2 linked regions of the Diceros bicornis minor genome follow. Each later gene encodes a partner of the first gene's protein in a complex. Links are inferred from orthologs where the notes say so. Each region holds a gene or a part of one and is shown on either strand. Other genes may lie near its edges.

Evidence for each region.
Region 2: the proteins of SCML2 (region 1) and histone H2A.J are in contact, whole or in part, in a crystal structure (PDB 4EDU), measured with the Homo sapiens proteins. The link is inferred for Diceros bicornis minor from reciprocal best matches to the Homo sapiens genes SCML2 and H2AJ. Residues at the interface, in NP_006080.1 of Homo sapiens: Asp182, Asn185, Tyr187, Leu188, Cys190, Phe206, Trp209, Phe213, Pro239, Pro240, Gly241; in NP_808760.1 of Homo sapiens: Leu35, Arg36, Lys37, Gly38.

The regions. Positions count from the first base shown.
Region 1 is NC_080781.1:15,228,350-15,235,497, forward strand, and holds the start of SCML2 (sex comb on midleg-like protein 2), read right to left. Parts: upstream 3,045-7,148; 5' UTR 2,966-3,044; coding exon 2,927-2,965; intron 1-2,926. UniProt on the Homo sapiens protein: Putative Polycomb group (PcG) protein. PcG proteins act by forming multiprotein complexes, which are required to maintain the transcriptionally repressive state of homeotic genes throughout development.
Region 2 is NC_080756.1:46,450,844-46,457,136, forward strand, and holds histone H2A.J, read right to left. Parts: upstream 1,262-6,293; 5' UTR 1,128-1,261; coding exon 738-1,127; 3' UTR 567-737; downstream 1-566. Other genes in the region: histone H4, read left to right, coding at 4,419-4,730. UniProt on the Homo sapiens protein: Core component of nucleosome. Nucleosomes wrap and compact DNA into chromatin, limiting DNA accessibility to the cellular machineries which require DNA as a template.

The DNA of each region.
Region 1 (7,148 bases):
CGCACACCAGTGGAGGAGGTAACATATATATACAGCACAAATAATTGTAAGGGAGAAAGGAATGTGTCAGGTCTTGCCTACACCTGTAAAATCAATACTGATCCAGGTCCCAGGATGAATTTAACAGACTCCAGCCCCTGGAAGTCTGGACATAAGCACCCAGCTGCCCTTCCTCATCATTTGGTTCTGACATGGGGGCCTTAATTTTCTTGTTTGTTTGTTTTTGTTTTTGTGAGGAAGATCAGCCCTGAGCTAACATCCATGCCAATCCTCCTCTTTTTGCTGAGCAAGATTGGCCCTGGGCTAACATCTGTGCCCATCTTCCTTCACTTTTTATATGGGACACCGCCACAGCATGGCCTGACAAACGGTGCATCAGTGTGCGCCCGGGGTCTGAACCCAGGCCGCCAGCGGCCAAGCGCATGCACTTAATCGCTACGCCACCGGGCTGTGGGGCCTTAATTCTTATATCCAAGATTCTGACTTCATCACTGCACCTGAGTTCCTGTTCTGGAAACTTGCTTAACATCTCAGTCCCCTACTAGGGGCTCGAGATCTTATCATTGGATTCTACCTTGGCCTCTGCTCCTCGTTTTCGGTTCTAGTAACTTGCACAGTATATCTTTTCTTTGGCCTGAGGTCCTTGCACGAAGTGGGGAACTGTCACCGAATTGTAGCTACTAGATGGTGCCTTGTTCATTCCTCTGGATGACGTTCCCTGATGCCAAATAATCTGCACTTTCAAACCTCACCTTCCTGGGATTACTATGATTTACTGAGGATGCCGGCTACTTCATCCTGGGTCCCTTATCCTCTGCTTCTGTCTGTGAATCAATGGTAATTTGCTCTTAGACCTCAAGCCCCTTGATATGTCCACTCTCACTGTCTTTCCAGCTCCCCTAAGCTGTTGTCCCACAACTAGGGAGGGGCCAGGTCCAGGTATAATTGACCTGCCCCCACCGGATACTGAGATATGACAGAAAAGATGCTGGAACAGGTGTAGGTCAACTGTTTAGAGAGTTAAGTAGAGGCACAGAGGGATTTCTTTCTAGACAAAAGGATGCATTCGGGAAGACTTCATGGGGAAGCTCCAAAGGGCTTTCTCAGGCAAAAGCACAAAGGTAAAGAAATTTGAGAGATGCATTGGAAACAGCAAGTCACTCAATTTGGCTGGAGCAAAGAGCATAGAATGGAGTGATTTGGTAAAAGCTGGCTGATTCCATTTCGTGGAGGGCCTTGAAGGTCAGGCAAAGCAGTCTGGATGTTATTTACTAGAACATGGGGAGCCACCTAGGTTTTTGAGGAGAATGATATGATTAGAGCTGCACTTCCCCAGGTATAAAGTAGTGTATCTGGAGCATATGTAGAGTCTATATACTGGAGACCTGTAATGAGTACCCGACTTAAGGCAGTCACGGTGGGAAGGGAAAGGGAGGGCCAATTACAAGATTGTTGTAGATAAGATAGAATTAAAAGATAGGATGCCATAACTGATACTTCGCTCTTCTGTGGCTTCAGTATTCAAAGATGACTCAGGTCTGTGACTTGCAAAGGAGGAGGATGGGACTGTGTATTTGACAGAAGTGAAAAACACAAGTAATTGGGGTTCTAGTCACCAATTTCAACATGTGTGGAGAGGTTCCTCGCACACCAGTAAACAATGCTCTGACACCAGCTGAGTGGCCTACAATTAACCCAATTCTGACACTACCTACCCGGAGATAGCATTGATTCCACAGGTTAAGGGTTCATAAGACTGTCCCCACCGCACTTCAGATGCCAGTCTCAAGTCCAGATTATCATCTGTGCTTCTGACCAAATGGCTACAAATTGGAGGTTCCAGTGACCCCCTCCAACTCAGGATGCCAACTGCAAGTCCAGGTTGTTACCTCTACCTCTGACCTGACCAACTGGCTATAAATCAGAGGTTCCCACGACCGCCTCCTCGGGTTTAATTAATTTGCTATAGCGGCTCACAGAACGCAGAGAAACATTTTACTTAATAGAATGCCGGTTTATTATAGAAGAATATAACTCAGGAACAGCCAAACGGAAGAGATGCACACGGCGAGGTGTGGGGAAAGGGCCCGGACCTTCCATGCTCTCTCCAAGGGGCCACTCTGCCAGCACCTCCAGACGTTCCCCAAACCGAAAGCTCTCCAAATCCCATCCTTTGGGGGTTTTTATAGAGGTTTCATTACATAGTCATGGTTGATTAAATCATTGGCCATTGGTGATTGATTCAACCTCCAGCCTCTCTCTTCTCCCTCAAGGTAAGGAATGGGGGCAGGCCTCCAGGGACTGAAAGTTCCAATCCTCTAATCTCCTGATTGGTTCCCCTGGCAACCAGCCCCATTCTTGTTACCTAAGGGCTTTCCAAAAGTCACTTCATTAACATAACAAAAGGCACTTTCATGGCTCTTATCCAGGAAATTCCAAGGGTTTTAGGAGCTCTGTGCCAGGAATGGTAGAAGACCAAATATATATTTATTATAAATCACAATATCACAGCAGGAGAAGGAAGTGGTGGAAGAAAATCAGAGCAAGCTTACAACTGATCATGCTAAACTGGAATCTTAGAGAAAGTTACAGCTGGAGATATAAATTTGAAAGTCATGGATTTGGGAGAGATTTATAAGGGAGGGATAGAGAGACAGAGCGGGGAGGATCAAAATCAGAATCAAGGTCCAGTCAGGAAACAGGAACCACACCAGTGATCTGAACAGGTAACGTTGAATATAAAGAATTGTTAACTAGGCAACGGGTGGTTAACTACTGAAATGTAGCGAACTCAAACGTCTAACAGAAATAACTACTGCGGAAAGAGGCTGCCACTTCCAGGGCTGAGGTAAAAGTGAACGAAGAAGGAACTTAGAAAGTTCGAGGAGGTCCCCCGCCCCCGCCCCCGCCGAGCTGAGATTCAGACCTCTAAGGAGATGGGGCGACTGCTGCAAGAACACGTCATGCGCCCAAGGTGGCTCTGAGGAGCTGGAAGAGCAGCCCACCGCCCGGAGAACGCCACGGGAGCCAGTTGCACACCAAGCCGATCAAGCCATCCATCGCAGCAATGGGAAGCAGAAACAAACAAGCAAACAGGAAGCAGAAAAGTCCTCCAGCACCCCCTATCGGCAGAGCCTAACATCGAGCCAGCTGCCAAAGGAGAAAACGTGGTGTGCAGAGACCCGCTCCGGTATTACAACGTAGTTTCCCAGAATCGATAAATTAATAACTAGGACATTGGTATTCATCTAAACTTAGAGGATGGGAAAAAGGGAAGCTAGACAAGAGACAGGATAAGCTTGGAATTGCAAGTAGGAGGCGTTGGCCACCAATCAATGCCAGAGGAAACTTCACTATATTTAGGTAACTAGGAGATTATCAGAGATATCTGGGGTTTTTTTTTTTTCTTTTTTTTTTTTTTTGTGAGGATATCAGCCCTGTGCTAACATCCGCCAATCCTCCTCTTTTTTTTGCTGAGGAAGACGGCCCTGGGCTAACATCTGTGCCCATCTTCCTCTACTTTATATGGGACGCCGCCACAGCATGGCTTGCCAAGCAGTGCATCGGTGCGCGCCCGGGATCCGAACCAGCGAACCCCGGGCCGCCGCAGCGGAGCGCGCGCACTTAACCGCTTGCGCCACCGGGCCGGCCCCTCTTTTTCTTTTTTTAAGCAACACTAATCTACAGTTCCAGCAGTCCGAATAGTAGTCACCCTTGGGGGATGGACTACTGACTCGGGACATGAGAGGGACTTCTGAGGTGTCGGGAACATCCTGTATATTGATCTGGGTTGGGGTAAGATGGGCTTAGACATAGGCAGAAATTAATCAAGCTGCGCACTTAAGATTTGTGCACTTTACTGTACATATGTTATATCTCAATTTTTAAAAAGTTTTAAAAAAAATATCATTTGGGGGCCGGCCCAGGGTCATAGTGGTTAAGTTCACATGCTCCACTTTGGCAGCCTGCTTCAGCGGCCTGGGGTTCACGGGTTTGGATCCTGGTTGCAGACCTACACGCTGCTCATAAAGCTGTGTTGTGGTGGCATCCCACACACAAAATAGAGGAGGACTGGCACAATTGTTAGCTCAAGGACAATCTTCCTCAAGCAAAAAGAGGAAGATTGGCAACAGATGTGAGCTCAGGGCCGCTCTTCCTCACCAAAAAAAAAAAAAAAGACTTATTGGATAGAAGAAGGGTTGGCAAACTACGGCCTGTGGGCAAATTTCAATGTGCTGAAATAAAATAACTGCCAACCTGAAATTCCATACCCACTGAAAATATTCTCCAAGATTGAAGACAAACAAAAACTGACAGGATGAGTTTCTTGAAGACCTGCACTGAAGTGAATACTAAAGTGAGTTCTTTAGACAGAAGAAAAATGATCCCAGAGGGAAGACCAGAGATGCAAAAAGGATTGAAGGCTAATGAAACGGTAAACAGATGGGTAAGTCTAAATGAATATTGACTGCATGAAACAATATAATGATGTCTTGAGGGAGATATATATCTGTCTTAGTCAGCGTGGGCTGACATAATAAAATACCATAGACTAAGTGGCTTAAAGTACAGAAATTTATTTCTCACGGTTCTGGAGATTGGAAGTCTGAGATCAGGGTGCCAGCATAGTCAAGCTCTGGTGAGGGCCCTCTTCCTGGCTTGCAGACCACTGCCTTCTTGCTGTGTGCTCACATGGTGGAGAGAGGAGGCTCTGGTGAGGGCCCTCTTCCTGGCTTGCAGGCCACTGCCTTCTTGCTGTGTGCTCACATGGTGGAGAGAGGAGGCTCTGGCACCTCTTCCTCTTCTTATAAAAGTACTAATTGCATCACAGGGGCTCCACCCTTATGACCTCATCTAAACGTAATCACCTCCCAAAGGTCCCTTCTCCTAATACCATCATATTGGGGGTTCGGGCTTCAACATATGAATTTTGGGAGGACACATATAAGAGAGAGAGAGACACAGAGACACACAGAGAGAGACAGAGATAGAGAGAATAAAAATACATAATACAATGACATATGAGTAGGATGACCATATTATTTTATGTACAATGTGGGACAGTTCAAGAGTGAAAGAGTGAGACATTGATAGTTACACAAGGACAACAAGCGTAAACCAGGACTTTGCTGGGCAAACTGGTGTATATAATCACCCTGGATATAAATTGGGAGGTAGGTAAGTAGAGTTAAACTGTCCTAAGGTCTATGCACTTCCAAGAAAAAAGAAAAAGTACGATGCATTTTTGTCAGTGTTGTAAATAGCGTATTTACTTAAATTTCACTTTCTGTTTTTGTTTTTAAGTATAAATATATTAAGCAGTCATTAACCTCATTAGCAATCAGGGAAATGCAAGTTGAAGCCACGGTGGGGCACCACTACAAACTCCAGATTGGCAAAAATTTTAATTTGCAGTCTTTGAAAAGAATGCCTATTATACATCAATAAAAAGGTGTTAAAAAAAAAACACTGACAATATCAGGTTTTGATAAAAATATGGAGTGTAGGAACTCTCATACACTACTGGTGGGAGTATAAATGGTACAAATGCTTTAGAAAACAGTTTGGCACTATCTAATAAAGTCGAAGATAAACACAGCCTATGGCCCAGCAGTTCTAATCTTGTGTATAAACCCTGGAAAAACTTGTGCATGCACATTGTAAACAAGGTAAACGTTTAAGAATGTTCATGGCAACGTGATGTGTCATTGTGCCCAAAACAAAAACCCCAAGTCCATCTAAAGTAAACTGGAAATATATATTGTGGCATATCCGTTCAGTGGAATGAATACTCTATAGCAATGAAAATACACAGCCACACACTGTGACATGGATGAAATCTCAAAAACATCATGTTAAGCAAAAGAAGAGAGGGAGCAAGAGTGAGAGAGAGAGAGAAAGAAACAGAACCCAAATGATGTGATTCCACTCAGACAATATTCAAATGCAGGATGCATAGCTAGGGGCAAAACACAAACAAAGAAACATGAAAAACAAGGCTTGATTATCAGGAATTAGGAGTTACCTCTGGGGAGGAGGTTGAGGGTCATGGTCAAGGAGGTGGTGTGTGGAGAACTTCTGTAGGGTTCTATTTTATTGACATGTGTGACTGTTATACTGCATTTGTTTCTGTTTTTGGCTTTAAAATAAAAAGTACATATATTTGATATACATTTTTATTTTTTATTTTTAAAGATTTTATTTATTTATTTTTTCCCTCCAAAGCCCCAGTAGATAGTTGTAGGTCATAGCTGCACATCCTTCTAGTTGCTGTATGTGGGACGCGGCCTCAGCATGGCCGGAGAAGTGGTGCGTCGGTGCGCGCCCGGGATCCGAACCCAGGCCGCCAGCAGCGGAGCGCGTGCACTTAACTGCTAAGCCACGGGGCCGGCCCCCTATTTTTTAAATTATATACATTTTATACATATTTTTACACATTTATACATGTACATTATATACATAATTTTTAAAAAGGAAATATGAGAATGCACAAAAAAGAGAGAAATATTGTCTATAATCCACCACTTGGGAATACACATAGTTTACATTTTAATGAATTTCCTTCCTGTTCTTTTTCTCTTTTCCTGGGCATAAATACTCTTTTTGGTTTGTATGTTTTTACAAAATTGAGATTATACTGCAAAACCTATAAAATCGAGATCAAAACTGGTTTTTGTCTTTGTTAATATTTCGCCTGATCTTACTGGAATTATTTGAAAGACCAATGTCCTATAGCGGTAGAGGCAGAAGATATTGTATGGGAGGTTGTCTGGGCGATTGGCAAGGTACCAGAGAAGGCAGTTCACTTTGCTCTTTCAAGAAGCTGGGAATACCTAATGTCTTTTAGATTGAGTACCACCAACACATCATGTGTATTTGGGTTAAACAGGACTTTGTGGGCAGACCTAATCATTGACCCAACGAATACGCTGAAATCTGGTACATTTGGAGAACAGTAAAAAGTTAATTGAGGGTAGAGCATTGAATATGTAGAAAGTGGCAGAAAACTAGTCTAAAGTGGTAGATGGGCCAGATTGTGAAGGGTTTTCCAATGTCAGTAATATTGGATTTGGATTTATCCTATAGGTAACAGGTAGTCAGCAGAGGGGTTTTTTTTTTTCCTTTTCTAAAAAATTTATTTAAATTTT
Region 2 (6,293 bases), on another chromosome or scaffold:
ACACATACTACTGAATGTCTCCTTCATTTTAAAGAAATGTGAACATAAGTGTATATATAAAAATATCTGATACCCAAAACATGAAAACACAACAACTATTAGGCTAAGAAAAATCTGTTAAGTTGACACTGTGTCATCAGAGCCACTCTTCCAAGATGGAAAGTTAGTCCACCTTTTGAAAAGTATGGCCAGAGAGCCAACTCCCTGCACGAGACCAACTCACCGCCACCATCTCTTTCCTCACACTGGGTCCTGAACTGCCAAGAGAAGACAGGAGAGCAAAGGCCCTGGAAAGGGGCCCTAAAAATAATCCCCCTTGCCTCACCCGCACCTACTCTGCCTCTCCTTTGCCTTAAGGCGAGTAGGGAGAGCTCCCATCTCTGCCCACTTCCAGACCAGTGGGTCCCTCCCGGTTTCCCCCATCCGCCCATAACAACTCGAGGGTGCTGACCAAAGCAGTCTAGAAAGTGGCTCAAGCCTACCCACCAGTACCTGCTCCAGAGGTCTCCCGGTCGCCCCCCGGGGTCATCCAGCAGGTCCCCGCGACTACATAGCTCTCTCAACCACACGATTTTCACCGACTTTATTGGCCTCCGACCCTGGCGGGGCCCTCGCCGCCCACCTCCCCGCTAGATCTAGCCGGCCCTCGGTGACAAGAGCATATGCAAAAACATTCTGGGATGGCTACGAAAAGAGCCTTTGCTGGGGAAGCCAGCTCCCCCGTGGCGGCGTCAGGGTCACTTGCTCTTCGCCTTCTGACTCTCCGTCTTCTTGGGCAGCAGCACGGCCTGGATGTTGGGCAGGACGCCGCCCTGAGCGATGGTCACTTTCCCCAGCAGCTTGTTTAGCTCCTCGTCGTTGCGGATGGCCAGTTGCAGGTGGCGAGGGATTATCCTGGTCTTCTTGTTGTCACGAGCAGCGTTGCCAGCCAACTCCAGGATCTCCGCCGTCAGGTACTCCAACACCGCGGCCAGGTACACCGGCGCCCCAGCGCCGACTCGCTCCGCGTAATTCCCTTTGCGCAGCAGTCTGTGCACTCGGCCCACTGGGAACTGCAGGCCCGCGCGCGACGACCGGGACTTGGCCTTCGCCCGCACTTTGCCGCCCTGCTTGCCGCGACCAGACATGTTCACCTCTCGCCTAAAACTCCAGCGACGGAAAAAAGCCCCCAGCGATCCCGGTTGGAGAATGGGAATGCAATGTACCACACCCGAACTGCCTCTACCAACACTTTGCTGATACTAGGCAGCGCCTTCCCATTGGGCGCCGCAACATCCTCGGCTCCGATGACCAATGACAGGCAGGCTCCCCGGCCAGCTAGCGCGCTGGCACAGGGACCGCCTTCTCCAGCTCTATCCAATCAAAAGAGCAAACTTCTAGTCCTTATTTACATAACCCCTCATATGAATAGCCAGACCCGCCTGCTCCGCGTTTGAGGGCTCCGTTGAATTTATTGGGTCCTAAGATTTCAACGTCCACGCTCACTCCCAGGAAAAGAACGTCTTAAGAATTACGGAACCGTGGTTAGAAACAAAAATCCGGAAGAGCTACTCCGTCTACAAGTACGAAGCGCTCCAGCAAGAAATGCCTCTAGCACTTGAGGTCGTAGCCAGGTAGCTAACTGACTCTAGAGCCCGTGCTTGCGGGCAACACTGCTCCTCAAGCGAAATCACCTCTCTACCGAATTCGGCCTGCCCAGTGCAGGGTACGTTTCCTGTTCCCTTAAATAAACGCCTTGTCTCCTACAAACCCAGGGGCACCTGCTGTTACCTTGCAGTGTGAGGAGCTGGCTCCAAAAGAGGCTTCGGACGGAGCTGGCCGTCTGAACTTTCTAAACCAGACCAGGTGACACTGGACTCCCCGCACAGTTCTGCCGCTCACAGGCTGCCAATCTTCGCTTCTAAAGGCTGCGAAACTAGAGTGCTAGACTAGACATGAAGACTATCTTCACAGACGACAGGAACAAGCTCCCTTCGCCTAAACCTAACATCTCTTGTCTTTGAGGTTATGAGCCTGAAAAGAGCCTCTGGATTCCAGGGAGAAGCCACAGGCGCAGCTCAGTCGCTGAGGCTGCTTGGCCTTAACTTGCTCCTTATTGATCTCTGGGCCTCGGATCACGTTCTCCACGAAGACTCTGAGTCTCCTAGTAGACGAGACTAGACGTAAATAAAGTCTCGTAAGACATTCCGGTGGCGCTTGGCCTTCCCCTTTCCCAGCCCCTCCATTGCCCATTGCAGCGCTAAGAGATCATGAAAAGACCAGATAATGAAAAGACTAAAGGAAGAACGGCAGCAACTTGCCTTATACACCCAAATTGCGGAGTCATAGCATTTGGAACAAAATAGGTTTTTTTTTGTTTGTTTGGAATTAGAAATTACTTTCGACTAATTCATTGAGGTAATTTCATTTACCTCAACATATTCCACACTCATACAATTACACTACTACGTGATGTAATATTAAACACACATTAAAATAAGCGATATTTTATGTAGATTATAAAATCTAAGTAAATTAAAACAAATTTACCCTCTCACCCGTCCTAATAAAGATTTGATTTCATTGAAATAACATTTTTTAACTATTTATGTATATGCCCTTATTGCCTAGAACAATGATTAACGTATATACGGTAGGGAGTCAATAAACGTCTTTGGAGCTGAGAAGTCGTATATTGTCACGACTAAAGCGGTCACCGTGGAGCCAGACCGTCTCAGTCCAAATCCTGGCTCTATCACTTACCAGCTAATCTTCCACAAGTTATTGAACCCCTGTACCTATCCCAAAGTGTTATTTTGAAGATTAAATACATTAGTAAGCATCCAATGACTGTTAGATAAATTGAATGAATGGCCTACAAATCTCTGATGCAGTTATTGACAAGATGTTGACCTGGAATGAGTTGTGTAAATTTAGCATAAATTTTTGCCCATACCATGGGAAATTTTTAACAGTTATTACTATTATTTTGGACACTGTCCTTCTATTCTTGGAAGCAAGAGAGATTTCTAGCTTGAAAATATTCTAACTTTGATTTTTTAATCTTAGTAAATACAAATAAATCAATCTATTTTACCATTATGAGAATCCTGATCTCTTCAAGATCTGATAGACTTTTCTTCTTCCCTGTGAGTCAAGGATTAAAATTACACGGTACATTTTGACTATTCAGGAGTTTTTTTCAGCCAAACAGTGTTCCAAAGTTAATTCATCTTTAAACAAACAAGCAAACAAAAAGTACTTTTTGTGTTATGGAGATAGCAAATTATAAGCTTTTAGATATACAATAAATATTTACCATAAAGCTTTCCTGCCGGAAAAGCGATTCTTCAAGACTAAGGATAGGGAGCACAATTTATTAAAATATTCGTTTCTTTACATGTTAAGTGCCTGGGAAAGAGTTAGAAATCATCCTCTAAATACTGCTGCCTTTTATCGCAGTAAAATCTTTTGGGAAGACGGAGAGTCTTGTCTCCTAGAGCGGTGACACTACTGAAAGTTTTATTTTCAGGGATTCTCTTAAAAGGATGGAGAGCCTCCTGACGGAGGACGTGCAGTATAAATCTGTTTAAAGCTACGATCGTGGCACCCGTTATTGTACAAAAACTTTGAATTTTTAAGTGGAAGATGTGAGAACCTCAGATTTGAATGAAATAAAAAGAAATTTACAGTATTTCAACTAAATAACCATAGAAATAATTATTTGGTTGAAAAGGAAATACACGCGGGCGTGGGGTGGGGCGGAGAAGACAGGAAAATCTGCAAATTGCGCAGAAGAAGCTGAAAGGGAAAAGTCTGGGGGGAAGGTTAGACTTTTGAAAGAATTTTAATTCTTTCTCCGCGAAGCCACAAAGGAGAAAAAGAAACCATTAAAAAATTTCCTCTCCCCCCACTAGTGACTGAAAAAGATCCACGGATGAAAGCTACAAAGCAATTGCTTTGAAATCTAACAAAATGTAACGCATTCCTGGTTCCCATTGATTTTCACATTAGTCTGAGAATGATAATATAAAAGTAGGCATTCCGGTGGAAAAAATAAATAATTAGAATTCGCAGGCGCTCGAGGGAGAGACGGGGCGGGGGGGTGGGGAGGAGAAACCGAGCGCGCATAGGATCTGGCCTACTTTTATTTAAGCGTTGAGAAAAGGCAACAGAAATTCTATTGAGTCCTCCATTTTATGGCAAAATAACAAAACAAGTTTTCCCAAAAAAGCAAACAACAAAAAAATCAGTCTTGTTTTGGTTACTGCTTGCTCGACTCACTATAGTGAGGAGGAAAAAGTCTCCTGGGACCTAGAGCTCCGCCCACTTGCTTCAGGTTTTCAAACAGGTCCGCTACCAGGGCATATAAACTCTAGACTACGGCTCAAACTCATTAGCTGCTTGGTTTTCCACCCAGGACAAGGTTTGTTAGAAGGATGTCTGGCCGAGGCAAAGGGGGGAAAGGGCTGGGCAAGGGAGGCGCCAAGCGCCACCGGAAGGTCTTACGGGACAACATCCAGGGCATCACGAAGCCTGCTATTCGCCGCCTCGCTCGCCGTGGGGGTGTCAAGCGCATTTCGGGGCTCATCTACGAAGAGACGCGGGGAGTGCTGAAGGTGTTTCTGGAGAACGTCATCCGCGATGCCGTGACTTACACGGAGCATGCCAAGCGCAAGACGGTCACGGCCATGGATGTGGTGTATGCGCTGAAGCGCCAGGGCCGCACCCTTTACGGCTTCGGCGGCTGAGCTGTTCCTGCGGCTTATCTCCCGACTCCAAAAGGCCCTTTTCAGGGCCCCCAAAACGTCAAGAAAAGGGCTAACGCAGCGCCAAACTATAAATATCAGATCTAAATGCACATAGGCTCTTTAGATAAGGCTTTCTGGATGCTCTTAGTAGAAAACTCGGAGCAACTGCTCCGGCAAGTGGCTCCGGGTTGTAGGCTTCAGGCTTGGTGCTTGGGAGGAGGGGAGGTGCGGGCAGTGGAGCTCTGGGGGTAACCCAGCGCCGCGCTGAGGACGGAGCCTGGGGAGTGCGGCGCAGGGCTGTAGTGACCTCACTCTTGCGTGTACAGAGATAAGACGCCAGAGTCCTTCGCTTGCCTTTGGATTCCGTTTGAGAAAAGGAAGCATCACTACCTTAAAAACGCGCATTTTAGAAATGGCGGGCTTCTAAGCAACCGAGGCCTCTGTCCCTGAACATATATATGGCAGCTTACGTGTAAACTAGGGCAAGCGGTATTTCCGCCTCCGATTGGACAGGAGGGCCTCGCGTCAGAGGGGGCAGTTCTTCGCCCGTGGGGCCCTGGGTCTGGCCTCCGAGACCGCGGGGCTGGGGATGTCCCGGCGCCCAATAGGGAAGCGCCGCTGCAGGCCAGTCAGAACGCGGGAAACGCAGTCCCCGTGTGGCGCGCTGGGGTCTTGCCGGGTGTGAATAGTCTTATTTCTTCGCCGACGTTTTGTGTAAGAGCTCAGACGCCGAATGCAGGGCGGCGAAGTGCGGGCGAAGTCCAAGGCCGGGCCAAAGCTCGCGGCCCCCGCACTACCCGTGGGCCAGCTGCACAAAGTTAGCTGCGCGGAGCAGGTGAGCGTCTGGACCCCGGAATAACCGGCGGTGGTACTCGAACCCCTGACGGTGGAAATCCAAGAATTAGCCGGCAGGGCGGCCAGGGGCGCAGGGCAGCGTCCTGCTCAACGTCCTGGCCCTGCTGTGGCTCTGGGGAGGGTGTCTTGCGACCCGGTCGCAGCCGGGAGATAAGCCCTGGCTTCTGAGTAAAGGCACTTTTTGGAGCCGCCGGGGCTCTGGAAGGGAGATGGGTGGCATATTGGATTCTAAGAAGATCGGTGAAAATGGTATGGGAGAGAGAGCTGTGTAGTGGGGGAATGCTACCCGGTGATCCTGCCGTTCGGCCAGGAGACCTCGAGCAAGGTGCGGCGCAGGAGGGGCTTGTTTGAGGGCGCTTTCCCCAGGCGACTGTAGAGGCTGCAGACAGGGGACCCACCTGCGTACAGGCCGGCAGGGGCCGCCAGGGAGGCGACGTTGACACCCAAGTCAGTTTGATGGCCTCGCTTTACTCCTGGCTTTGTCACTCCTAACCTGTTTATATGAGGGAAGTGGGGAAGGGGCTTAGGACCTCCAAATACAGTGCGATTCCATGCATCTTTGCTAATCTCCTTCAGCTCTGGCTTGTCTAAACATCGTGAAGTCTTAGGCGATTGCCCGGAGGGGCTCTGGGGAAGTTTCCCAGCCTGATAGGCAGATATGTCTCGTTTTAAGCGATATATGTCTCAAATGTACTCTGGCCAGGGAAA